4 linked regions of the Caenorhabditis elegans genome follow. The protein of the gene in region 1 purifies or fractionates together with the protein of each later gene. This does not show direct contact. Each region holds a gene or a part of one and is shown in the gene's direction. Other genes may lie near its edges.

Region 1 (8,654 bases):
AACAAAACGCGGCATAATATGGATCATTGGACAAGATTCAACATCAGATGGTATATGCTTCGGACGTAGTTCAAAATCGAGCATTTCAAATATTTCATGAAATATATACTCAAACAGCATGTCACAATCTTCTGGGTCGAAACACTGAAATTTAAAATTAACATTTAATATTTTGAAAAGAAATATTTTTTCACTCACCTCATCAGGCATAAATTCTTCAACCAACTGAAATTCATAATCCATACTATATTTACAAATTGGTGCTCTTGTCATACAATCCGGAAGTGGTGCATGTGTGATTAATGAGAATCCTTCAAATTCAAATTCCTCTCCATTTATTGCCATATGTGTTCTATAAAGTTGATTTTCGCTTGGCAAAGGTGTGACTCGAAGGGTGTAATAATGCAGGTTTTCGCCATTGCTGAAAAAAAATCATTTTTATTTTTAAAATTCTAAAATAAAATTACCTTTTCTTGCAATCTATAGCCTTATCTTCACCTGCATAATATCCATGTTTCAGGCCACAAGTTTTTATTGGTTCTGGACATCTACACTCTGGTCCTTCGTTTCCCAAACCTTTTTCATTGAATGAGATATCCGGATGAATTCCATTTGGATGAGTCTTCTTTCGATCAATTCCTTTTTTCAAAAGTGTGATTTGCCGTTCCTTTTCTTCGAAATTCCGCAATCTTTTCGCTCTTAAACAAGAACAATTGAAAATTACAAGAGGCAGCATTTTTTTGTGCCAAAAATATGGTAGCCGATATTTTTGAATTTTCATAGTTTTCCCACAAAATCATGTGTGATTTAATGTTTCATTTCAGTTTGAAAAAAAAAAACAAATCTGTATCGAAAAATCGATGAAAATTCTGCAAAAACACAAGTTTGAAAGTACAGTACTCTAAAGGCGCGCACATTGCATTCAACAAGAAATTGTCGTGTCGAGACCAGACACGGTATTTTTGCAGCAAACATCGAAATTTTTGCGTTTATCTTAAAAAATTAACATGGGTATTTTAGAGAAGCTGCATACTTTCTCTGTTGATTCCTCCGATTACATGTCTGTTTCTCATCTTTTACTTCTCCGGTCTTGTCCGCTTCAGGAGCTTGTCTGTTTGTTGGCTCTGAAGTAGAAGCTTCATCCTGAGAATCGTTCGAGTCATCAGACACATCAGATGCCGTAAAACTTTCGTCTCCTCCTTTCTGTTTTGGCGTTTTCCGGCCTTTCATTGAATGACATGGATGAATTATATAAGGAACATCAGCTTGAAGTCGACGTTTTGTTTTAACAGTTTCCAGAATTTTAGTTTGAAAATCTTGAAGTATTTTACTTGTTGTTGATTTAGCTTTGATCTGAAATAAAAAACCACATTTTTATAAAAACGAAAACGGTTAAATCGTACCATCATATATTTTTCAGCTTCTTCTGCTTTTATAACAACTCTATTCGATTTTATAAGCTCTGCCGAATGTGTAGAAACAACTGGAGGATCTATCATATAATTCGTCTCATAATCTTTTTCTGTTAATCTTGGAGAATCTCCAAATGGCAATGCTGACGTTGATTCAGTAGGCAATGGAATTTTTTCAACAGTATCAGGTGGGGCACTTGAAGTTGATGGTTGATTTTGAAATCTTCTTCCTAATTGCTGCATCATTTCTTCCTTGTGACGTTCCTGATACTCCTTCTGATATTTCTTTCTTCGAGCCCGCTTGTGTTTCGGGAAGTTAAGCGTCATTGAAATCTTTTCGTCCGACATCTAAATGAAAATCTAAATCTGTCTACAATTTCAGATGAAAACGTTAACTATGGTAATTGATTCGAAATAATTTATCGTATACAACACAAGCGATGAGCATAGAAATTGGAACTCTTTTCATTCAAAATTTAGAAAAAAATAAAAAGAAGCGAATTAAGCAGAAATTGATGCGAGTTCAGTATTATGCAGATTGGAGCAGGCGGCACGAGTTTAATACTCTTCTCCTTCCTCCTCGTTTCCTCCCTCGTTCGAGTCAGCTCCGACCTCTTCGTAGTCCTTTTCGAGAGCAGCCAAGTCTTCACGAGCCTCGGTGAACTCTCCCTCCTCCATTCCTTCTCCGACGTACCAGTGAACGAAGGCGCGCTTGGCGTACATAAGATCGAACTTGTAGTCCAAGCGAGACCAGGCTTCAGCGATGGCGGTGGTGTTGGAGAGCATACATACGGCACGTGGTACCTTGGCGAGATCTCCTCCTGGAACAACAGTTGGTGGCTGGTAGTTGATTCCGACCTTGAATCCAGTTGGGCACCAGTCAACGAATTGAATGGTTCTCTTGGTCTTGATGGCGGCGATGGCAGTGTTGACGTCCTTTGGAACGACATCTCCTCTGTACAAGAGGCAAACAGCCATGTACTTTCCGTGGCGTGGATCGCACTTCACCATTTGGTTGGCTGGCTCGAAGCAACTGTTGGTGATGTCATTGACAGAGAGAGCCTCATGGTAAGCCTGAAATCATTACTTTTTTAACAATTTGACATTAAAAATGTATACCTTGTCAGCAGAGATCAGTGGAGTGTACGCAGCCAATGGGAAATGAATTCTTGGATATGGGACCAAGTTGGTTTGGAACTCATTGAGATCAACATTGAGAGCTCCATCGAAACGGAGGGAAGCGGTGATGGAAGACACAACCTGCGAGATGATGCGGTTCAGGTTGGTGTAACTTGGACGGTCAACGCTGAGGTTTCTGCGGCAGATATCATAGATAGCCTCGTTGTCGACCATGAACGCACAGTCGGAGTGCTCGAGGGTGGTGTGAGTCGTCAGTATAGAGTTGTATGGCTCAACGACGGCAGTCGAGACTTGTGGGGCTGGGTAGATGGAGAATTCCAGCTTCGACTTCTTTCCATAGTCAACCGAGAGGCGCTCCATAAGCAATGAGGTGAATCCAGATCCAGTTCCTCCTCCGAATGAATGAAAGACGAAGAATCCTTGAAGACCACTGCAGTTGTCAGCGAGGCGACGGATTCTGTCGAGAACAGTGTCGATCAGTTCCTTTCCGACGGTGTAGTGACCACGAGCGTAGTTGTTGGCGGCATCTTCCTTTCCGGTGATCATCTGTTCTGGATGGAACAGCTTCTTGTAGGTTCCAGTGCGGATCTCATCTGAAAAAAAAAACAAATTTGAATTTGAAACGGTTTTTATTATTGCTTACCAACAACAGTTGGCTCAAGATCTACAAAAATCGATCTTGGAACATATCTTCCGTTTCCAGTATCGGAGAAGAAGGTGGTGAAAGATTCTCCATCGGCTTGTTGGTCTGATGGCATAGTTCCATCGGGCTGGATTCCATGCTCGAGACAGTAGAGCTCCCAGCAAGCATTACCGATTTGGACTCCGGCTTGTCCGACGTGGATGGAGATGACCTCACGCATGTTGAAAACGAACCTGAAAATTAACGGAAATTAGAAGAAATGAAATCATAAATGAACGCGGATAACATATGGCGTAAAGTACGAATGATAAAATCATAGGAGTCGATCAACTAGGAAACAAGGTCAACTCAATTATAAATAATCCTGTTGACAATTCCGGCTGAATAGTTTTCAGGGCAATAAACCAGATATAAACTTGGTACAAGGTTTACAACAAGTAAATAAAAACAAAACCAGGAACTTACATTAGTTAACGAGATGGAGAAGGTTTGGGATATAAAATTTATGAGCCTCCAAATGAAACAAACCCAATTGCATACATATGAAATGCTAGCTCTCAAGAGTATTGCGAAATAGCGAAAAAGACTCGGACCGTTGAAAACAGAGAGCAATTACGCCCATTGCATCGTGGTACATACACAGCAGTCAAACCCTATTGGGTTCTATGCATCTAGTCAAATGAGAAATGAAAGTCGGGCTGGGAAAGAAAACAGAGCTCTTCGTCATTAGATATTCTGGTGCGAGGAAAGGGTAAAACAACTCAAATTGGAAGACTAAAGACGACAATCTTTTCTGCCTTGCTCTAGACATCTGTCACTTGGATGAAACTGGTCAGAGAGGCAGTGCCGGGTCAGAGAGAGGAACGAGCGACGCTTGTCCGATTGGCCAAGGACAGCGGCGACCCTATTCCTCGGTGGACATGACTAGTAGTGGCCATCTGGTGTATATTGCGAAATAGGTTCTCCACTAAACCTTAATCCGATGTTCATGATATAGACGCTTGGATGTCCTATTCATGAAAATGCAAATATTCATCGGGACGATTCAGATTTCAATGCAAAAAATAATAAAACGAAGTTTAAGTTTCAGTAAATAAGCTATGATAAAATAAATAAAAATTAAAAACATCACAAGCAATAGCACGTAACTAAAGTAGAAGCCGAAATGCAAATCTATAATGATTTTATTAGCCGCTGGAGAAACGAATTCCCTAAAACTAAAGATTCTATTGAACACACAAGTTGCAATATAATCAAGAAAATTTGTTAACAAACAATAAAATGTGGCTCAATATTTACAGCATGTGTAGACAACGAGTCAACTTTCAAACAACTCCATTTTAGGAGCAAATCGAAGAGAGAGAATACGAGCGATTGAGAAGCGAAAAATGAGAAAGAATGACAGCCATCTCCCAATCCTATTGTCGTCTGTTTCGCGCCAAAAAAAGTGAAAATTTCTCCCGAGCGCGCCTAGTGGACGAAACGAATTCAAATCCTCTTCGCATTACGGTGTTTCGTATTGAGGAGCGTCTTGTGCGTTGCAACAGACGCGCGTAGTGTATGCCGAGTGTACGCCGAGTGTACGCCCGCCACTGAGGCTCCGTAAATCGTGCCAAGCGTTTTTGGCTCTTTTCGGCTATTGTTCGCATTTTCAAGGGTCCAATCAGAATATAAGTGTTCTTCAAAAAATTTCTGATTTTTCAAGAGGTTTATCTTTTAATTTAACCCTATTTCAATAAGGCCACCTTCCTTTTTTGATTTTTAGACTCCCGATCGATAATTTTCTTCATTCGAAATCGAATTTATATTTAGTCGTTTTTGATACTTGAGAAATACAATTGTATTTTTCAGATGGCTCAACTTGCTAAGACGGCTGTTGCCGCCCTTTCGAAGAAGCTCGTCGCTCCAGCTGCCGTGGCCCGTCGTACTTTGGCCACTGAAGCCTCGCCAGAAGACTACGGATACTACCCAGATCCACTTGAGCACGCTACCGGACGTGAAAAGAAGATGCTTCTCGCTCGTCTTGCTGGAGATGATGTGAGTTTTTGTTAATAAAATTTAACAATTTTCCCAATAATTTCCAAAGTATACCCCATGATGTATCAATTTAGCTAATTGTGAGCTACTTCGCTCTCGAGATTTTGTCTTGAAGTGTGAGTCGTATTGAACGAACTTTGTCGAAGCTGATCTGAGGGAGATTTGCAATTTGAGTCGTTATCGTATCTAATACTGGTTTTTAATGAGAAAGTGTTTACAAAATGAAACCCATTTAGTAAAAGTGGCAAATTATCTACTATTTCTTCATCTTTTCAAAGTTAAATAATAAAAGTTTCATTCTTCAGCGTTACGAGCCAAAAGTCTACTATCGCGCTGAGGCTTCCACCAAGCAGAAGCCAAATTTGGTCCCATCTCACTACGACTTCAGAATCATTGGATGCATGTGTAAGTTATATTTAAAAGCATGATTGATTCAATTAAACAACTATTTTTCAGGTGAGCAAGATTCCGGACATGTCAATTTCATGACAATTCGCAAAGGAGATCCAAAGAGATGCGAGTGCGGACACTGGTTCAAGGGAGTCGACGCCGACCCAGAATCCATCTAAACAATTTTCAATGTAGATTATTGTTCCGACTTATTTTAGATCGCTCCATCAGTGAAAATAAAACGCGCTGGTTTGAAGACAAACCATTCTGTTTCTAGAGTTGGTTCAATTCGTTTCTTTGTTTTTCGTCAAGATGTCTCCTATTTCTGTAAATTAATTTTTTATCAATTTAACCTACATTTCTTACATGAAAAAATGTTCTTCGTAGGTTTTCCCTGACAATCTCCTGGATTAGGTGGTTAATGTTAAAAATGAACAAAACAGGTGGAAACAACAATCAATGATGCTGTTTCTCCCGTCAACCTCCACAGAATCTAGCTGATAAAAATCTGAGTTCAGATGCCTCGCTCCTCTCATTTTGTTATTGGTTTTCAAAATCACGTGCTGTCACTAGCACATACAATTTTGTTTTTAAATTGGCAATTGTTTGCCTTCATTTCAACAATTTTAAGCTTTCGTGTTGTCGTAGATCGAATTTATACATTTAGAGCCCAGGCTTGAGCATTACATCAAAAAGTAATAACTCACTTCTTCAAAACATTTCCAATTTTCGAACCATTAGTGACTTCCTTTTTCATTTTATCATTTAAAAACATGACGCTAGTTACGTAAAACAAGTTTCCGTACTATTTTGACGAGAACCTTACATTTGTAACATCCTATTTTGAAGTTTCAAAGACTAGAATTTTGTTATTTTTTCGGGTCTCGTGTTCCACTATCGCTTTACCCAATCAGACTGTTTCTCTGCGTATTTTCTTTTTTTTTAAATTCTGATTTTCAATGATAACAGAGTTTCGTGGTCAATGGGAAAACTCGTGTTTGCCCAATTTTCTTGTTCAAATTCAACTTTTAATAGAACTTACATAAATAACAAATCTAGGTAATATTTAGATTGTTTCTTATTAAAAAAAACATAAATTAATTAATTTTAATTAAAAACAAAAGTTAGGAGATTTTTTGCCAGTGTTCTATGACGCCTGCGCTTCATAAACTCTAAACGAGCTTTCTCGCGACAAACCATGGCGCAGCTTGCTGCCAAATTAAAATTACCCCTCCCTCCATTGCCATCTCAAAAATTCAGAAAAAAAACGGCGTTACAAGTTCAAAACCAGTAGGAACTCAGTATTTGTGTGTCTCGAGGGTTGATTCTCTTCTCATTGACAGCCTTCTCGCATGTGCGTGTGTCTGTGTGCGCATCTTTTCGTCTCTTTCTCGTCAAAATCAATATTCTCCGTGAGACGAAATAGTGTAACAGGATGAAGAGGGTGGGTAGAGATGTTAGAAAGCTCCTGCTGAACTCGCTTTGGCACTGGAACTCTTTTTCATCGTGAAGAAATTCCTTTGAACTATTTTTTCCTACTAGGGTTTTTTTCAGTTAGTGTTATTCAAACTCATATCCATTTTATATGATTTTTATTTAATCGTAACAGAATTTACAATGAATCAGCTTTCCCCCCACGTGACGTCAATTTGCCATCTTGTTATTCGTCGTCTGACTATTCTGACAACGATAGAGTATCGAAAATCCCCACGAGAAAAATTACTAGACGCTGAGAAAAAAGGAAACCTTTCTCTCATTTTTTTGTTTCGCTCAACTACTCTCTAACATTTTCTTCGTTTTCCGAAACGGAAATCTTGGATAATCGGTTGTTATGGCCCGTTTCGGTGATCCAAACAATTTTACTTTTTCATACATTTTCCATAAAAGCCTCCAAGCTTCAAAAATTGATTTTTTTCCAATTTTATCAAATTTCTCTTGCCTTAATGATTAAATAATTAATTAAGTAATATAAGTTGAGGAATGTGTTTTAACAAAAAAAAAATGGATCGTAAATACTGTCAAATTTTTTGAAAATACAATTTTTCTAAATATTTCTAATAATCTTTTTTAATTTAGCAAAAATTAAAATGTTGAATTAATTTCGAATTCCCGCAAAAATGAATCACCTAGTTTCGAAAATTAAAAATTCCATGTTATTGTTTTTATCTCAATTTCTTTCAGGTTATCAAGTTTCCCTCACGGAAAATTGATGAAAATTTGGCAAAAAATGTTTCAAATTAAATATTAAAAATATAGATTAATGCGAGGGAATTTCGGAAAAAATCATTCTAAAAATTTAGAAAAATGTATAATATGAAATCAAATATGTCTAAAAGTTTTATTCAAATTCATTATTCAATTTAAAATTCCTGAAACAGTAATCCAAAAATTGAAATAATGCACCGTTCACTTCATCATTCTTTATATTTCCTTGTTTAGCTATGCGAAAATAAATTCGGTGAAATCGTCATAATATGATTCATCTTTGAAACGTTGCTTTCTATTCAAAAGTTCTCTGTGTTTTCTATATAGAAAGTAAGAAATTGCTCTATTTATACAAAAAAAAAACGTTTATTTTTCTTTTCAAATGCAGCTTTCTCTTCAATTCCGTTCCACTCTTCACACACATAAAACTTTTTTATACGTTTTCATTGGCACCTGATGCCAAAACGCCCTCATCTAATCTTCTAGATCTCTTCCTACGTCATCATATCCATTTGTGAATACATTTAGTACGATAACATAAATAATCTCATCGGAAATACATCAAAGAGCCATATTTTATTGCATTGGAGTATGACCACGAAAGTCAGAAAATGAAAAAAATCTGCGTTTTTGGTGATAACAGTAGTTTCAATCAAGGGTGCACTAAACATTAAAAAAGGAAAAAAAAATCTAAAAGTTGTTTGAACTATTCTATTGATCATCAGAAATGCTTTATATTACACACCTGATTGACTTACTGCTGCATCAGTGATTGTTTTAATTTAAAGTAGATAAATCTGATTCTTCGGTTTATTATTTTGAGCTGT
Region 2 (8,430 bases), on another chromosome or scaffold:
AAATTTGAAGTGAAAATGAAAAATAAAACGAAAACCCCAGGAAAAAATGCAAAAATTCCTTTGGCGGGTATCGGCACGACCGCAGAAACTTTTTAAAAGAAGGCCTGCGCCTTTAAAGGGTTACTGTAATTTAATATGATTTTTTTTTCAATTTTTAACTAAAAAATTATTGAAAAATGGCAAAAGGTGTTTTAAAAAAATCGGTTTTTTTTTTCAATTTTAGAAAAAAAAACTATATTTCAATATATTTCAATGTCCAATGTACTTTTTTTTCACGGTTTTTTCTCTTTTTTTTTGGAAGAAAAAGTACATAAATTCAATTTCTACTGTATTTTTCGTGCTTTTTCTCAATTTTTAATCAAAAAATTAGTTGAAAATGCCCATTTCCCCCCGCTAAATTTCAATTTAATTCGTAAATTTCCAGCTAGAAACGGACGAAACAAAGCTGATTCCAAAGGCAAAAGCTGCTCTCTCCAAGTACGGCCATCAACTCGTCATCGCGAATATGCTATCAACTCGCAAGCAACGTGTAACTCTCGTCAGAAAGAATATTGAGCAAGGAGAGGAGATTAATCTTGCTCCGGGAGCCCCCGAGCTGGAGATCGAATCGTTTATAATCGATCGTGTTAGCGCTTTACACAGACAATTTATTGATGCACAAATGTAGATATACAGTCATGATTTTCACGGAAAATGAATAAATATTTTAATATAGTAGAGATCATGCATCGGCCATTGGTGGTGGGCAGTGCTCGTTGGGATGTTTCTCACTGTGAAGACGTCGCAAGTCTCCAGATTCGACGACAGATGACGAATGGACGGTTGAAGTGTTGGCGGCGGATGGGATCTGAAATAATATTTGATTTTTCAGGGGGAGTTTGTGAGAAAAATGATGGAAAAATCAATTTTTTATCACCCTCTTTCTGAAAATTTGCGTTAATTCTGAAAAAACCACTTTTTTTACAAAAATTTTTTATGGTCGGTCAAAATATCGAAGAAAAAAAAGCCAAATTTTGCTAAAATCTGAAATTTCGCACACTTTTCTTTGTCACAGCCGCTGGATTTTAATTTTTCTGAAATTATCACCCTTTAATCCTTATTTTGGTGATTTATCTCATTTTGATCATTTTTGGGTGCCTATCGGCCTAAAAGTTGTCTCGATCAACGAATTTCCGCGAGATAAATCACCAAAATAAGGATTAAAGGTTGATAATTTCAGAAAAATTAAAATCCAGCGGCTGTGACAAAGAAAAGTGTGCGAAATTTCAGATTTTAGCAAAATTTGGCTTTTTTTTCTTCGATATTTTGACCGACCATAAAAAATTTTTGTAAAAAAAGTGGTTTTTTCAGAATTAACGCAAATTTTCAGAAAAAGGGTCATAACAAATTGATTTTTTTTCCTAATTTTTCTACTAATTTTTAGAAAAAGAAACAAAAATCTTGGGTTTCATTGGTTTATATACACTTTTAATATACACTTTTTGTAAGTTTTCTACGGGAAAACTCGAAATTTAAGGCGATTATAATAGCTTTTGTTGAAAAATTTGGTCATTTCTCAATTCTTCCAGCAAAAAATCGTAATTTTCCATACAAAACGTTTTTTTCTGACAAAAATCAGTTTTAAAAGAATTTTCTGTTTGAAGGTGAAAATTCAGCGGTTTAGTGCGTTTTCAGTGAAAATTGGTTTTTCTGCCAAAAAAATCACCACTTCTTCTCGATTTTTTCCATTTATTTTTCAAAAAAATCAATTTTTCCAGTGAAAAATTGAAAATTTCGCTTTAAAATCTCTATAATTGTCGATATTTTTACCATTTTCTTCTCCGAATTAACCTTAAAAGCGAACATTCCATGCTGAGCCGGAGCTCTTGGAGGCATCGGATCCTGTGACGGAGCATCTTCCATAGATTCTCTTGGATGCTCCGATCGATCAAATGAGAATAAAGAGCCGAACATCATGTGCTGAACAACTGGAAACTTCTTTAAAACTTCTCCTTCATACATTTTAAACATTCCACTATTGACTTTTTTCCAGTGTGGAACTGCTGAGATATTCCAAAGTTGATTTGAATGTTCGTGGAAAGGGCCGGTTTTTGTTTGATTGATAAAGTTTACGCAGTCCAGGAAAAGACTTGTGTGGGCGTGAGTCTCAACAATATTCTTTTTTAGGTAACTGTCCGGCACGATACTTTTTGAACCTGAAAATCGAAACAATTTAAGATTTTGGAGCGGATTTTTGGCTATTTTTTGGCATTTTTCAACATATTTCAGGCCTATATAAGCTTTGGAAATTCAAAAGTTTTTTTTTTTGTAATTTATTGGTAGAAAACTAGATTTTTAGGTGATTTTCTAGTAAAATTTTATAATTTTTTTTCTGAAATTTTCACAGAAATATGCTTTTAAGCGGGGTTTTCTAGAAAAATTGTAGAAAAATTTTTTTTTGTCATTTTCGGTGCCTTTTTTAAGTTTCACAGGAAATTTAGTGAAAACTAGCTTTTTTTGAAGTTTTCCTACGAGGAAATGTTGTAGATTGAAGATTTTAAACGATTTTTCCCGGATTTTTAATAGGAAAATCGCGAAAATTGATGATTTTTAACGGAGAAATTGAGGATTTTTCAATGAAAAATTGTGAAAACTTATGATTTTTAAAGGAAAATTGCCAAAATTTATGATTTTTTGGCAAAAATCGCAAAAATGTGATGATTTTTTAATGAAAAATCGGGAAAATTGTTGATTTTTTATTTAAAAAAAATCGCAAAAATTTGTGATTTTTCGACAAAAATCGTGAAATTTGATGATTTTCAACGAAAAAACGGAAAAATGCATGATTTCGAATGAAAAATCCTTGAAAAATGAACGTTTTTTGAACAAATACTGTGAAAAAAGACATTTTAGATAGAATTTTCCGACAATCTGTGAAAATAAGTCGGTTTTTCTTCGGAAAACGACTTAATAATTGTGGTTTCTTGAGAATTTTTGAGTTTTTAATGGAAAATTCAGCTATTTTCCTGAATTTCAAGACTTCTAGTTGCTCCAACATATTACCAATAAGCTGAGCGCTTCCAAAAATGAACGGCGCGAACTGAAAATCGTCAATCGCATGAACTCCACGACTTCCAGCCGGCTCCATCTTGAATCTGGTCTGCAGATGACGGCACACTCTCAAATACTTGTTAAAAATGCGAAGAACGAGCACTTTGTCATCATTTTCTGTGAAAACGCCCAACTTTTGCAGGCAAAACAGCAAAATTAGGAAATTCGCCTCGTGTCCCGAGCCGTAATCGATTCGAGTGGCGTTTCCGAAGGATTCTGTGAAATATGGAACCAGTTCGACTAGAGCATCGTGGACGTTTTCCGGAAGAACGCTGGCTAGGAGATCTGGGGATTCCTGGAATTTTTAAAATCTTTTTAAATACATTTTTGAGCTAAAAACCTTGCAAAGCTTCTCATAAAACTTTCTGTAAGCTTTATTGCCAAATCTTTGCTCGGAAACATCTTCCAGAGGAATTTCCTCAGCCCATTTCTGAAAAAAATCCATTTTTTATTTTTTTAAATCTGGTTTTTCGTAATTTTCCGTAATTTCTCGAACCTCCAGCTTATCCAGCATGTCGATAAAGCTGATAACCAAGTCTGTGCATCTCATGTCTGCAGTTGTATGAACTCCAACTACAGAATCATTCAAACGATGCAAGAAAGCCAGGTACTCCTCGTAAGCCTGCAAATTTCCATTCATAATCCTTCAAATCGATAAAATTTCTGTTCTACCTTGGAAAAGTACCACGGATTCAGGTCGAACACATTTTTAATCATCTTTTCCGGCGGTTTATACGAGTTTTCAGCCATTTTTCTGGAAAAAAATCTATTTGTTTTGATTTCTAGAACTTTGTTATGTAAAAAAATAATGCAGCAAGTGCGCTCCAACGCAAAACCCCATTGTGGAGCGTTTTGTGCGTGAGAGGTGTATAGGAGTGTGTGGCTCGCGCAGCGTCTTTAGTGAAAAATTTTTATTGATTTTAAATATTGTTTAATTCGGTTTTCACGGATTTCTGAGCTTTGAAAATAACCGCCCGTGTTTAAATTTCAATTATATTCAATTTCAGTAATGCCTGTCGAAGTTGAGGTTCCCCCAACCACTTACGAGAGACTCCAGCAATACAAGGTGAATTTTTAGCGTTTTTCTTCATTTTTATCGATAAAAATTTACAGGAGAAGTTCTCCGATGCTCTCCGTCATCCAGACTCGCCAGACTGGTACAAGAAGGAGACCCACGAGTCTGTGAAGAAGGATCTTCTCTGGGCTGCTCCATACGACGCCAGATTCCCACAGGTTGGTAACTTTATTTAAAATTTATTATATATTAATTAATAATAAAAATGTACAAGTTTTCAGGTCCGTAAGCAACGTCAATGCTTCGCCTACTACGTCGATTTCCATCGTTGCAATGAGCTCATGGGACAGGACTACAAGCCGTGCAAGTTCTTCCAAAATGTCTACAAGGACTTCTGCCCCGGATTCTGGACCGAGAGATGGGACGAGCTTCTTTCCGAGGGACGTTTCCCAGCTAAATTCGATCGCTAAATGAGATTGTTCGATTGTATTCGAGAACAGGCGTTTTATTAGTGCTGATATTCGATAAAAAGTGTCACTTGTAAAATATTTTAAACACTTTTATTTCTTATGGCGTTATGAGACGCTTGAAATATCTCATTTTTTTTAAAAATCATATTTCCCCCAAATAAATAATTTTCTCAGTGGAAACCATGGCTGACTCAACTCGCGTCAGCGAGAAGGAAATCGAGCGCCGCGAGACCTTTATTCGCGCAGGACACAGAGCTCGTCACCTGGCCGATCCATTCACATGGAGCTACCCATTGAAGGGTGCCAGTGCAATGCTCGGAATCTCGCTGGCTTCGGTTTATTTGCAAAATCGATGGAACAAGAAGCCGTACTACTACGCAATTGTTCCACGGCTTTTGCTCATCGGAGCCGCCACCGCCGCCGGATACGCTGCCGGAGCACTTCGAGAGAGACACTATCAGACGAGAGACGCAGTCATCGAGCACTACATGAAGCTTCATCCAGAGGATTTCGACCATTTTAATGATCGTGAGTTTTGGAATTTGCTGAAAAATCGATTTTCAGATTTTACTGCAATTTCGAAAAAAAAACCCGGCTGAATTCGATCAAATTTGAAAGATTTCGGCTTTTTCCCCCCAGAGAATACCGTATTTTTCGCGATTTTCTGTGATAAATGCAGAAAATATATACATTTTCCCCGAAAAAAAAACGCTGAAAAGGAGAAGATTTGGCTAAAATGCTCGATTTCGGACCAATTTTTGCATTCAAACACCCAAATCAATGATTTTTATCTTAAAAATAGCAAAAATTGGCGTGAAAAACCGATTTTAGCCTAAAACACCATGGAAAACTACAAATTATCGGTTTTTTCGTATTTTTTAACAGTAAATTCGTCATTGTTCATGTAAAATACTATAAATCACCGATTTTTATGTTAAATTCAGAAAAAAAATAGTGAAAATGGCGCATTTCAGCTTAATCTTCTCCTCGAGGAGTACACGAGCTGCGTAAATCGACACATCACAGAAAACTTGAATTTTGGACTAGAATTCAGTTTTTTTTTCGCAATTCTAAGTAATTATTTTGGAAATTAGTGCGAAAAAAAGGGAATTCTGGCTAAAAAATTCAAAATTTCTGGGAAAACGGAAGATTTTCTAGTGAAAAATGCAAGAAAATCATCAAAAATTCATGGAATCTATTTATTTTTCAGGCAGTGGACGTTCATTCTCTCAAGTTCTTCTTCCATGGTATCCACGCAGAACCCAGTACACCAGATACGACTGAACAATTCTCTCGAAGTCTCTTTTTAGTTCATTATTGTAAATTAAATGAAGAATTATTGATTTTTTTCCCGGAAAATTCTCATTTTTTTCATTTTTCAGCATCCATCTGGTCTTTTGAGCCGTTTTGAATATAACTAATTAACCCAGAAGCAATTTTGGGGCAAAAATACTATACTATATCCTGGGTCTCGACGCGACAATTTGTGTTAAATGCGAAGAGGGATGCGCCTTTAAAAAGTACTGTAGTTTTAAACTTTTGTTCCGGTGGTTTTTATTGATTTTTTATAGTTTTTCTCACATTTTATGAGAATTTTTGCATATTTTTTTAACGAAACTAGAATAAAAACACATAAATTTCTATAAAATCTGAAAAAAAAACTATGAAAAATCGATCAAAAATTTAAAAAAAAACTCAAAATTGTCGTGGCGAGACCAGTTTTTTGCCACAAAAATCGCGCAAAAAAACGCCAGATTTCAGCATAATGGAAGCATCTTCGGAACAAATTTTATTGGATCGAAAAGATCGATTAATTGCAAAACTGGAACAAAGAAATGAAGAACGAAAAGTGCAAACTGAAGAATGTTTATCGAAATCTGAAGGAGCACAAATCGATAATTTAATGGCGGAAATTAAATCGGATTTGGAAGCGAAAAAATCCGTCGATTCGCAGAAAATCGACCGGCTTCGTAAGAAATTTCCCCGCCTCAAACAAACAAAATCGATAATTTTCTTCAATTTTTCAGAAGAATTTCTGGCGTTCTCGACGAGTAACCGGCAAACTAAAACAATTCAAAATTTCCTTGAAGACGTTCGAAAACAGAAGCTCGCGCTGAATTCTGGACCCAAATTCAAGGGTTTTTCGTTTTCAGTTCGGTGGTTTTTTTCACTGATTTTCTCAGGCAACTCAAATCTAATATGAAAATATTAAATAGCAATATTTTTGTAGTTGGGTGATATTTCAAGATAAAATCGCAATATTCCGAGACTTATTCGAAATCTTTTTAGATTGAGCAATCTTTTGAGAATAATTCGCAATATTTTGAGGTTGATTCGCAATATTTCTGAATCTGAAAATATTACGAAAAATTCGTAATATTTTGAGATGACATAGCAATCTTTTGAGATTGGTTCGCAATCTTTCTGAAATCTAAAAATATTACAAAAAAATGTGTAATATTCTAAGATTAATTTGCAATCTTTTTGCAGTCCATAAAGATTACAAAACACCATTTCCAAATTTCCATCGGCTTCACATGATCGTGATATATATACAACAATTATGATTACTGTTTCGTTCTAAATTCTCTTTTCTTCCAAATGATAAAAGACTTTTCAAAGTAAAAAACAGCTACATGAAAATCTATATAATGGAGTATCTCACTGTTAACGGATATTTGATTTTTCGTTGCATATTGTAGAAGGAGTTTTTGCAGAGAAAGCCACAGAATTCACAAATCTGTCCACTCATGTAATTTTTTCTAGATAATTGGCCGGTCATATTACAAATTCAGTCAAACAATCACGAAGATTGGTCGAATACATTAAAGTAGACTTACAACTATTCATTCACGCGTGATGCGTTTGAGATTTTCTGATTTCAATTGAAATCATAAAATATTGTCAACAGCAAGCATGTTCCCAGTATACTCATCATTTTAATCAAATTGTTAGTGAAAAAAAATATTGAAAAAATAAAATGTTATTCTCTCTTTGACAAAAATTAGGAAAATTTGCAATTCTAACATTTTTAAAAGCATAACAAATAAATCGTTTTTCCACATTCGCTTTCAAAGAAAGTTATCCAATTTCGCTCTGACACTTAGAAAAATTTGCGAAAAGCCACTGATTTCCCATCAAAAGTAACGAAAAGGACGTGCGCCCATCAACTATTTACTTAAGCAATAACTAAATCTAGATGCGACACGTACAGGATGGCTCAACAGGTAAGATAATGGTTCATAGACTCAACGACAAGCGACGGACAAGTTCAACTCCCCTCAATGGCAACAAAAGTTCTTCGAGTTATCACAAGACAGTTCTAGAATAGTCGATGAATGCATTTTTAATATTTAGAGACAAATTCGCAATATTTTGAGACAAAATCGCAATCTTCGGAGATGAAATCTCAATCTTCGGAGACTAGTTCGCAGTCTTTTGAGACAAATTAGTAATATTTTGAGATAAAACGGAAGTCTTCCTAGAAATTTTCACACTTTCGCAATATTTTGAGATGAAATTGTAATCTTTTGAGACAAAATTGAAATCTATTCGAAATTTTTAGTAATCTTTATATGACGCACAATTTCTCGTTTTTACTACAAAAATATTGCTATTTAATATTTTCATATTAGATTTGAGTTGCCTGAGAATTCTCTATAAAAACTGAAAATTAACTCAAAAAACTGAAATAATGTCGCAAATTCGCGGGAAATTATGAGTTTTTGCGGCATTTTTCGTTAAAAAATTCACATTTTCTCTATAAAAACTGAAAAATATCGAAATACACAAGAAAATGTTAATTTCCTATATTATTATAGAGAAAAACTTGAAATTAACACAGCAAAAAAAACT
Region 3 (2,857 bases), on another chromosome or scaffold:
ATTCCAACTCCAAGCTTTGTGTATTCTTTTCCGGTGAACTTGAACACGGATACTCTGAAAAAATAAAAATTTAAATTTCCATTAAAACAATGCTCCTAAACTGACTTGCTGCTCAGCACTGCATCCGGCTCCTGATTTTCGACGGTTTCCACCTTCGGAGGCACATATTCTCCCTCATCGTCTTCACCAGAACCCTCTGGTTTCGCCTGATTCTGATTTTCCATGGCTTTCTGTGCGAGACCAGCGAATCCGCTGAAAAGGCTTGAGCCTCCAGTGGAGCTTGAGCCAAATGATAATGGTTGAGTGGCGGTGGTGGTGGTGGAGGCAGAGCTTGATCCAAATAATGAAGCTGCCGTGGAAAGAGCCGAGAAAGGTTTTGGAGCCGATGTGGTAGAGTCTGCGGAGCTTCCTCCGAACACCAGAGGCTTAGAAGGACTGGCTCCGAATAGAGAGCTAGCTGGTTTCGGCAAATCTGCTTCTTTTGGTGAGCCAAATGTCAATTTTGGTGTGGAATCCGCAGCTTTTGGCTCTTCGGAAGGCTCGGCGGGCTTCTTTCCGAACGAGAATCCACTGAATTTTGGAGTTTCCTTCGGCTTGTCGCCACTGAAATTTTGATATATTGGTGGGTTTTTTTTAATAGAAAATAGTCTGAAATTGCTATTTTTGCAAAAAAGCCGACATTTTCGATTTCTAGTTGGAAAAAACAATTTTTCAGCGTAAAATGTAGCATTCTCACCACGAAAATGCTATTTTTTATGTGGCAAAATGTTAGAAAATTCAATTTTAATGAATTTTTTCCAATTTCGATTATATATATACTAACTCTTTTCCCAAAAATGCGAAAAGTGAGCCTGAATTACTCGGAGCCGCCGGCGCATCAGACTTTTTCGTCCAGAAATCCTTGGTGGGCTCCGGAAATTTGATCGTCGTAGCCGGAATCTTCACACTCGACGTGGCGGCTTGTCCGTCTTCGCCCGATTTGAAAACCACTGATTCAGCTCCACCGAGAGGTCCTCCGCCACGAATCGCGCGTTTTCGGGCGGTCGCTGGAGCTGCTGGAGCAACGAGTGGCTCTGCGGTTTTTGCGAGTGGAGCTGGCGTTTCCTTGGTTATCACTGAAATGTCGCCAAACTTGGGCACAGACGCGACTGTCGCCGCCGGGCTCGAGGCAGCGAAAACTGTAGAATTCAGCGGATTTTTTGGCGTTCCATTCTTCCGCACAGCTTTGGCTATTTTCCGCGGAGCAACTGTTTCTCCAGAACTTTCAGACGAGTTTTCGGTTCGTCTGGGCACTGTCATATCGGCTGCAACGTCATCATCGACCTTATAAATCTGCTTGAGCTGTGCCACATGATCCATATATGATTTCATAGTTCCAGACTGAAAGATTAGATCTTTAATTAGACATAAAAAAAAGGTTTTAAACCTTAAACTTACAAAATCATAATGATTCTTTTCCGTGAAATATCCGTTGATGACTTTGAGAAATTCTGCATTCAGGAGGCTCATTTTGTCGCGGAGCCGGAACATGTTCATTTGTTGCTCAGAAGTTGGCGGTGGAATTAGGGAATTCATCACGAATCTGAACGAAAATCTGTTTTTTAATTTGAATTCGCAAGACTGTGCAATGTGACGTGACGGTGTTTGCGTACTCGGCATCAAACCCGACGACGCTTGCGGGCGTTTCTTTTTATTTTTCACTTATTTTTCAGGCTCGATGAGTCATTTCCCGATTTCCCGTCAAATTTTTTTCGAATTTCGGTTCGAAAAATTATTATTAATTATTTATTTGTTCAGAAATGTTGCGAGTCGCCGTTTCCGCTGCTCTCCGCACTGTTTCAGTGCGTGCACTGAGCAATGCGTCCGTCCAACAACGAGTCATCACCCCAATACTCCTCTCCGCACAGAAACCAAGCTTCCAAATCAGACAATACTCTGCAAAGGTGGGAATTAACAAAAAAAAAATATTTTTTCGCAAAAAGAAAACAACATTTTCCAGGCTCCACTGACCAAAAAGACACTCGAGGAGCGAATTGTGTTGGTTCTCTCACTCTACGACAAAATCGACGCGAAGAAGCTCACAATGGACTCGGATTTCTCGAAAGATCTCGGCCTCGACTCTCTGGATCACGTAGAAGTTGTGATGGCGATGGAGGAAGAGTTTGGATTCGAGATTCCCGACGGAGATGCGGATCGCTTCAAGACGCCACGCGACATCTTCCAGTACATCGCCGACAAGGAAGACGTTTTCGAATAATTTTTGTATTTCTTTATCTTTTTAGCTGCAGTAGAAATATTTTCTATTATCATTTTTTTTTGTTTTTCGGATTTTTTTTCAAAAATAAAAGTTTGAAATTCATTTAATAATTTTCGCGTTGATAAAAAGTTAATTTCTTTCTGATATACTTTTCTCAAAGGCGCACAGATTTAGGGGTCTCGACGCGAAAGTTTATGGTAGCCGCTTTTTTAGTGCATTTTTCCAGAATTTTGGCGTTTTTCTTTCTTTTTTTTTGTTGAAATTTGTTTTTCAAGTCGAAAAACAGGAGAAACACAAATTTTTAATGAGAAAACTAAAAAAAAAAACGTTTTTGCAGCGAATTTCGTTATTTTTTCTTGTTAAAAATTGATTTAAACCAGTTTTTTTCGTTTTTCAGTTCAAAAAACAGAAAAATCACAAATTTTTGAGCAAAAAAAACTGATTTAGAACAATTTTTTCATTACAATTTTAAAAAAAGTGTTTTTGTTTACATTTTAGCAAATTTTATAGGTGTTTTTCTGTCGAATTATGTTTTTTTTTCAGGTCGACAATCTATACAAACCGATTTGAATCAGTTTTTAACAAAAAAAATCAAGAAAA
Region 4 (7,868 bases), 4.3 Mb from region 1:
ACAAGTTGGCGTAGCCTCACCAAAAATTAATGAGTTTCGGTTGAGGCTCACACTACAAACTACAAATTTCTGACTTAAAATTTTCATTTTTAGAGCATTTTTCATCAAAAATAGCTCATTTTTAACGGTTTTTTCGACAAAATGGCTTATTTTCCGGCACAAACCTTTCTCAAATGCTGTAAATTGTAGTCTGTAATGTGTGGAAGCTGAAGCAACGGGCTATTCTTTTGCCAAAGCGCCTGAACGAACATTGGTTGCAATTTCAGAAGATTATCGAACGTTTCGATGGAAATCTTCGTGTGTTGGGAGTAGTTCATCAGATTTTGCGAGCAATTCACCATTTCTTCGACGAAACGCAGAATTCGGGTGATTATGTAGCTGAAAAATGGGTTTTTTTGGCGATTTTTGGAGGAAATTTCGAGATTTTCAATTAAAAATCGGTATTTTAAAGCGGTTTTTATCGAATATTCGCGAAAAATAGTGAAATGTTGGCAATTTTAATGCTATTTTCAGAAAAAATGCATTACAAATGAAAATTTTAATTCAAAAATTTGTAATTTTGGTTGAGGCTACGCTAACTTGTAGTTTGTAGTCTGAGAATCCAATTTTTCTCACTTTTTTTCGAAATTTGAGCAGTTTTCGTCGAAAAAGATCAAATTTTACAAATTTTCTGGATGTTTTTTTGTGGAAAAATATGAATTTTAACACATTTCAAACCGTTTTTCGCCGAAAAAAATTGGTTGAGGCTACGACAATTTGTAGTTTGTAGCGTGAGCCTCAACCAAATTTGGGTGAGACTCCCAAACTGTGTAGTTTGTAATGTAAGCCTCAACCAATTTTTATCACAAAATCGCCAAAAATAGTGAAATTTTGGCAATTTAAATTATTTTTCCAGATTTTTTTCGCTTTTCGGGTCATTTTTCATCGATTTTTATGAATTTTCCATCAAAATTGTGCGATTTTTATGCTTTTTCCTGGGTTTCCATCAATTTCCAACCTCTGATCCTCCTCCAACGCATCATTTTGCGATTCCAGTGGTAATCTCGACAGATACGCGTGTAAAAGTACACGAGATTTCAGTGCATACGGTTGGCTCAACGGTTGCTCTTTTCCCTTATCATTAACACCGGCAATCTGTTTCATGAGCCTCGGAACCTCATAATCATCAGTTTCTCGTTCCTGAATCTCCTTATTGTACTGTTTGCTGAATTCGAAGGATCCAGAGAGCACGGCGATCATTCCTAAAATTAAAAATAATTGATTTTCAGGGTGAAAATGTATTTAAAACTTGGCAAAAATGCTGAAAAACCGAATTTTTAGCTTTGAGATTAATAAATTTCCAGAAAATTTGGATTTTCCAGCACAAAATTGCGATTTTCTGTTGAAATTAGTGGTTTTTTTTTTGTAATAAATTTGAATTTTTTTTTCGTGGAAAACCAGGACTTTTGTAAAAATCGTCAAAATTTGAGTTTTTTGCCCAAAAAAATTGCCAAAAATCTGATTTTCTGGGTGAAAACCAGTCAAAACTCAAGTTTCCTGCATGAAAATTGGCAAAAATCCGAATTTCTTAGCGGAAAATCGTCGAAAACTTTCAAAATTCCATTATTGTATGGAAAATTGCCTAAAAATCAATTTTCAGGATGAAAAATTGCCAAAAATCCGACTTTCTGGGTGAAAAATCGCCAAAAAAGCAATTTTCTGGCTGAAAATTTGTGGAAAAATCGATTTTCCTCACTTCCAATCTCCATTCTCGGTGTCCGATTGATGAAATAATAGTACATTCGTGTGGTGTCCAGAAGAACCTTGTCAGCGCTGTATTTGATCGAGCTATACCACCACATTCCCTGAAAAATCGATTTTTCGCGAAAATTTCCAATTTCCGCCATTTCCAGCGCCAAACTCACAACAGAAACGGGCAAAATGATCATAAAAATGAGCCCATAGAAAGCGAGCACCCAGAGTCCGTATTCTTTGCTCACAAGCCATTTGGGCAGAGCAATTCCGAAAGTTGTGGCAGTTGGGCCGTCTGGATTTCCGTATTTTTCCCAGTTTTCGCGAGCTTCTTTATCGGTGAGAGCCTGGTGAGCCTTGGCGATTTTATCGAAGAATTGAGCGTCTCCTCCACGATCCGGATGGTGAATCTGCAAAAAATTGGGTAAAAATTCCAGATTTTTGAGCATTTTTGTGGGGAAAAAACTGAAATTTCAGAAATTTTAAGGCGAAAACAGGGCAAAAATCATGTTTTCCCGAGAAAAACTGTCTGAAATTCAATAAAAGTGCCCGAAAATTCAGTTTTTGGGTGAAAATTGCAATAAAATTTGGGAAACAGTGGGCTTTTCCAGTAAAAATAGCCAAATTTTCAGTTTTTTGGCGAAAAATTATGATTTTTATGGTACTTTCCACAAAAAATTCCTTATTTTACGGCGATTTCGCACAAAAATTTGTTGAGGCTCACACTACAAACTACAAAAACTATCAGCCTCACCAAAAATTACTGAAATTTCAGAAATTTTAAGGCGAAAACAGGACAAAATTCATGTTTTCTCGAGAAAAACTGTCGGAAATTCAATAAAAGTGCCCGAAAATTTAGTTTTTGGGTGAAAAAATGCAATAAAATTTGGGAAACAGTGGGCTTTTCCAGTAAAAATAGCCAAATTTTCAGTTTTCTGGGCGAAAAATTATGATTTTTATGGTATTTTCCACAAAAAAATTCCCTATTTTACAGAGATTTCGCACAAAAATTGGTTGAGGTTCACGCTACAAACTACAAAAAGTGATTAGCCTCAACCAAAAATGCATGATTATTGGTTGAGGCTCACACTACAAACTACAAAAATCTCCAGCCTCACCAAAAATTAATGCAAATTTTTAGCCTAAAATTCCTGGAAACTGCAATTTTGGAGGCAAAAAAAGTCAAAAAAATCGATTTTCAAGCCGAAAAAGGTCGAAAATAAGCTTTTTTTTCGAGAAAATATCTAATGGAGTGAAATTTCAAGATTTTGAGGCTTTTCTGTGGGAAAAAATAAATTTTCAACAATTTTAGCGAAAAAATTGGTTTTCAGCGGAAAAAAAAACCAAAAATATAGATCTTGACGCAAAACCGACCGAAAATTGCAAAAAATTTAGTTTTAGAGTAAAAATTGCAATAAATTATGAAAAAATTGGGTTTCTCCAGTAAAAATAGCCTAAATATTAGATTTATTGGCGAGAAAGTGTTTGAAAATCAGGTTTTTGCAAAAATATTTCGATTTTCGAGGCATTTTCCACGAAAAAATCCATATTTTACGGAGATTTCGCACAAAAATTGGTTGAGGCTAACACTACAAACTACAAAATTCGCGAGCCTCAACCAAAAATTAAAACAATTTTTTCATCTAAAATACTTGGAAACTGCATTTTTCGAGGTAAAAAACAGTAAAAAGTTCGATTTTCTTCGATTTTCAAGCTGAAAAATGTCGAAAATAGGGGTTTCTCAGTAAAAAATCGCCGAAATTCCAATTTCCAGCACCTTTGACATATCTCTCCAGGCCTTTTTGATGGCCTTCTCGTCGGCGCCCTGATCCAGACCCAAAATCTGATACGGGTCATAGTCCTTGTGAGTTTGCTCGATTTCAGTCGTTTTTTTCACAATTATCGCGAAAATTGCCCACGCTACAACGAGAACCTGCAATTTTTTGGGATTTTTAGTGGATTTTTTCCGGATTTTTCAGTTTTAAAGCCTTACAACGATGGTAATAATCTTTTTAGTCCGTCGCCACGGCTTATTCGCCGCTTTTTGTCGTCTTTTCTTGTCACAACCGTCGCATTGGCACTCGTGTTCGTTGATCACGTGTTCTGGTTCTAAAAATACGAAAAAATACGAAAAAATTATGAATTTTAAGCCAAAAAATCGATTTTTACCTGGTTTCGAGGCTCCTGGAAGGCATAGGTAGGTCGCCGGGAACAGAATAATCGCGTAGAATGCCACGAGCACATAGTAAAATGTGTTGCCGACTTCGTCGTACTCAAACGACGCGCGGCCCATTTTTTAGCGATTAATTACTGTAAAAATAGTGATTTTTTGAGTTTATCAAGTGGTTTTTCGTTTGAAAATATCGAAAATAACGTTGAAAAACTGAAAAAATGTGCGATGACGTGACACTTCGATTTGCAGTGTCTTCCGCAAAACTGTGCGGCGGTGTTGCAAAATTGCGTGCGCCACTTGCAAAAAGGGGCGGAGTCATTGGTTTTTGATGATTTTAATGGGTTTTTCGTGATTTTTAACTCAAAAAATTGAGAAAAAACTTGTTTTAGCACTAAAATTTGATAGATTTAGCAAAATTTAGGCAAATTTCCTAAAATATCAGCAATTTTCAAAGACTTTGCTCAAAAAACATGAAAACAGCAAAACTGTGCGTAGGAGTTGCAAAATACCGCGCGCCGCGCTTGCCAAAGTGGGCGGGATCACGGGTTATTTATTTTTATAATAAATTTCGAAAAAAATAATCGGTTTTTGTTGGTTTTATTGGATTTTTCTGCATTTTTTAAAGTTTTTTTTTGATTTTAAAGCTTAAAATATCGATTTTCAGATGTCTGTCCGTCTTGCCGGCACCGCTCTTCGCGAGATTCGCATCCACGTCTGCCAGAAAAGTCCAGCATCGGCGGGAGTCCGCGCGTTCATCGAAAACGACTATGTTGGAATCAAAAAAGCCAATCCACAGTTCCCAATTCTGATTCGTGAGGCGTCTGGCATCGTGCCAAGGTGGGAAATTATCGATTTTTGGGTGAAATTGCGGTTTTTTGCAGAGTTTTCGCCAGATACGAGCACGGAGTTGAGCGAGTCGCCACTTTGGAGGATTTGTCGAGAGAAAATGTAGGATTTTTGGTGGAATTTAATGCCGAAAATCGATATTTTCAGGTCAAATCTACTATTACTCAATTGGCGTCCCAGAAATAACCTGGCGAAGAGTTTAGAGTCGAAAAAAAATTCTAATTTTTTAATTTTTCCTGTAGAAATTCATTGAATAAATCGTTTTTATAGCTTTTTTAAGCGAATTTTTTTGAATTTTCCGGGTATTTTCACCCAAAAACCTACTGTTTTACCTATTTTTCCGTAATATTTCCAATTTTTATCAGTTTTTTTTCAGACAGTTCTGGAAAATGCGGCAGCTGGCGGAGCTGTTGACGGATCTTCTTGGCCCAGTGCCAACAATGTTTTTATGGGTAAGAAATTCGAAATTTCAAATAATTTCAAATAAAACTCAAAAAAAAATTAATTTTTTAAATAATTTTTCGTGAAAAATTAATTATTATTTATTTCTAATTTTCCAATGAAATCAACAACGATTTCTTCGATTATTTTTGTGAGTTTTCACTCAAAAAATGCCAAAAACCCCCGATTTTCTGCGAATTTAGGCCCAAAAATCCATTTTCTCCAGGTAATCGTCTCATTTGCCTTCTTCCGAGCCCTGCAATTCATCGTTCGTTGGTACTTATTTGGCAAATGGACGTGGCCGAACTTTAACTTTTTCGACATCCGAAACCGCATTCGGAGGAGACGGAGAGGCGGTCAAGAAGCTGAAAATACTGAAAATCCGCCTGAAAATGAGGCAGAAGCCGGCGAGCAGGTCGAACAGGAGCCCGAGCCCGACAGCAGAGATCTGTCGGTGAGAATTCAGAAATTTACTGCAAAAAAAATCCAAAAACTAGGAAGTTTGAGCTAAAAAAGCAGTTTTTTTTTTCGAAATTTGAGCATTTTTTGTTGAAAAATATCGATTTTACAGCATTTTAAGCAGTTTTTCATCAAAAAAAAAGTTGGTTGAGGCTACACAAATTTGTAGTTTTTAGTCTTAGCCTCAACCAATCAGCTTTTGCTTCAAAACGCCGAAAATTGTTGAAATTTCTATCAAAATCGCTTATTTCTAGAGTTTCTACTACAAGTTTCAATAAAAACTTTACAAAAACGTTGAAATTCTTTCCCAAAACTCCTGAAAAGTGCTCAAAACTTGGTTGAGGCTACACAAACTTGTAGTTTGTAGTCTGAGCCTCAACCAAATCAGCAAATCAGCCAGAAAATATAAATTTTTCCGAATTTTTACCTAAAAACTCCACATTTTCCAGGCTATCCCACCGAATAAGAAATGGCGAATCTCCAACGAATGTGTCTCACTATTCCACTCGGTTATATCAGGATTATGGGCCGCCTACGCACTTTTATACTATAAACAGCTCGTTCAGGACCTCGTTAATTATCGATGTGACGTTGCAATCAATTTGGTTAGATTTTAGCGAGAAAATTCGGAAAAAATGACTAAAAAACTCGAATTTCGAATAAAAAAAACCAAAAAAATTGGTTGAGGCTACACAAACTTGTAGTTTGTAGTCTATAGCCTCACTCAATGAAATCAATCAATTTTCCCCACAAATAATGCAATTTAGTGCTAAAAATTGGCAATTTTTCAACTTTTCTCAACCAATTTGTGAGTTCTGTCCATATTTTGAGGAAAAAAAATCAAAAAATGTCGATTTTGTAACAAAAAAGCACGGAAAACGTTGGTTGAGGCTGAACCGAATTTGTAGTTTGTAGTCCCATCGCTTCAACCATCATTGAGTCACGAAGAGACTACAAAATACAAAAGTTGAACGTTTTTGCTCAAAATGTTGCGATTTTCATCGAATTTTGTTCGTTTTTCTGCAATTTTCGCCGATTTTTTTGTGAGAAATTGCCAAAAATTTCGAATTTTCAAGAAAGTTCCGAGTGAATTAGTGAAAAAAAATTTGTTGAGGCTCTCAAGTTTTTATAGTTTGTAGTCTATAGCCTCACTCGACGAAAAAATCAAATTTTCTTCACAAATAATGCAGTTTTGTGCTGAAAATAGTGTATTTTTCACATTTCCTGCCTATTTTTTAAGAAAAAATGATTTAAAAATTCAAAAAATCTCGATTTTCTACCAAAAAAGCATTGAAAACGTTGGTTGAGGCTCTCAATTTTTTGTAGTTTGTAGTCTTAGCCTCACTCAACGAAAAAATACAATTTTCCCCACAAATGATGCAATTTAATGCCAAAAAGTGTCCCTTTTTCAACTTTTCTCAACCAATTTGTGAGTTCTGTCCATTTTTTGTGAAAAAAATAACGATTTTTTGATAAAAAGGCATTAAAAACGTTGGTTGAGGCTGAGATACTTGTAGTTTGTAGTCTATAGCCTCACTCAACCAAAAAATCCAATTTTCCCCACAAATAATGCAGTTTTGTGCTGAAAATAGTGTATTTTTCACATTTCCTGCCTATTTTTACAAGAAAAAATTGTTAAAAAATTCAAAAAATCTCGATTCTCTACCAAAAAAGCATTAAAAACGTTGGTTGAGGCTGAGATACTTGTAGTTTGTAGTCTATAGCCTCACTCAACCAAAAAATCCAATTTTCCCCACAAATAATGCAGTTTTGTGCTGAAAATAGTGTATTTTTCACATTTCCTGCCTATTTTTACAAGAAAAAATTGTTAAAAAATTCAAAAAATCTCGATTCTCTACCAAAAAAGCATTAAAAACGTTGGTTGAGGCTCTCAATTTTTTGTAGTTTGTAGTCTATAGCCTCACTCAACCAAAAAATTTTCACGTTTTTTTTTCGATTTTTTCTACAAATTTCGAAATTTTTCCATTTTTTCAAGCTTCTCGCTTGTAGTTTGTAGTCCAAGCCCAACTGAATTCAAAATTTTCAGGTTCTAATGTCTGCGGGATACCTTTTCCACGATCTCGTCGATCTTCTGGTCAATGAGCAATCCGCCAGAATTATCGAGCTTCTTTTCCATCATGTTGTCGTTCTTTCCGCGTTCGCCGTCACAATGGTGAGGGTTTTCTGCTGAAATCCCCCAAAAAACCCAATTTTTTTG

What was found.
Region 2: the proteins of cox-5B (region 1) and cox-6B fractionate together in Caenorhabditis elegans (co-fractionation; one large-scale study listed by BioGRID). This does not show direct contact.
Region 3: the proteins of cox-5B (region 1) and ndab-1 fractionate together in Caenorhabditis elegans (co-fractionation; one large-scale study listed by BioGRID). This does not show direct contact.
Region 4: the proteins of cox-5B (region 1) and ndua-2 fractionate together in Caenorhabditis elegans (co-fractionation; one large-scale study listed by BioGRID). This does not show direct contact.

Annotation. Positions count from the first base shown.
Region 1 is NC_003279.8:9,783,963-9,792,616, forward strand, and holds cox-5B (COX5B-domain-containing protein), read left to right. Parts: upstream 1-5,046; coding exon 5,047-5,232; intron 5,233-5,258; exon of another isoform or gene 5,259-5,528; intron 5,529-5,537; coding exon 5,538-5,637; intron 5,638-5,688; coding exon 5,689-5,801; 3' UTR 5,802-5,889; downstream 5,890-8,654. Other genes in the region: drsh-1 (Ribonuclease 3), read right to left, coding at 1-144, 199-421, 468-698, 1,034-1,353, 1,404-1,760; tba-1 (Tubulin alpha chain), read right to left, coding at 1,971-2,486, 2,532-3,145, 3,196-3,428, 3,661-3,662.
Region 2 is NC_003281.10:2,782,105-2,790,534, forward strand, and holds cox-6B (Cytochrome oxidase c subunit VIb), read left to right. Parts: upstream 1-4,097; 5' UTR 4,098-4,099; coding exon 4,100-4,156; intron 4,157-4,203; coding exon 4,204-4,323; intron 4,324-4,386; coding exon 4,387-4,575; 3' UTR 4,576-4,650; downstream 4,651-8,430. Other genes in the region: Y71H2AM.6 (DNA/pantothenate metabolism flavoprotein C-terminal domain-containing protein), read left to right, coding at 425-667; Y71H2AM.20 (Serine/threonine-protein phosphatase 2A activator), read right to left, coding at 722-847, 1,831-2,195, 3,043-3,385, 3,431-3,520, 3,587-3,712, 3,763-3,840; nduc-2 (NADH dehydrogenase [ubiquinone] 1 subunit C2), read left to right, coding at 4,758-5,103, 5,786-5,859; tbcc-1 (C-CAP/cofactor C-like domain-containing protein), read left to right, coding at 6,341-6,545, 6,603-6,727.
Region 3 is NC_003281.10:11,914,653-11,917,509, reverse strand, and holds ndab-1 (Acyl carrier protein), read left to right. Parts: upstream 1-1,797; 5' UTR 1,798-1,799; coding exon 1,800-1,943; intron 1,944-1,999; coding exon 2,000-2,257; 3' UTR 2,258-2,357; downstream 2,358-2,857. Other genes in the region: Nuclear pore complex protein npp-16, read right to left, coding at 1-54, 106-603, 824-1,380, 1,438-1,575.
Region 4 is NC_003279.8:14,109,068-14,116,935, forward strand, and holds ndua-2 (NADH dehydrogenase [ubiquinone] 1 alpha subcomplex subunit 2), read left to right. Parts: upstream 1-4,568; coding exon 4,569-4,741; intron 4,742-4,785; coding exon 4,786-4,852; intron 4,853-4,897; coding exon 4,898-4,936; 3' UTR 4,937-5,018; downstream 5,019-7,868. Other genes in the region: dnj-29 (J domain-containing protein), read right to left, coding at 165-378, 998-1,241, 1,736-1,844, 1,905-2,141, 3,509-3,664, 3,725-3,840, 3,901-4,024; TLC domain-containing protein fld-1, read left to right, coding at 5,140-5,202, 5,418-5,645, 6,100-6,255, 7,698-7,823.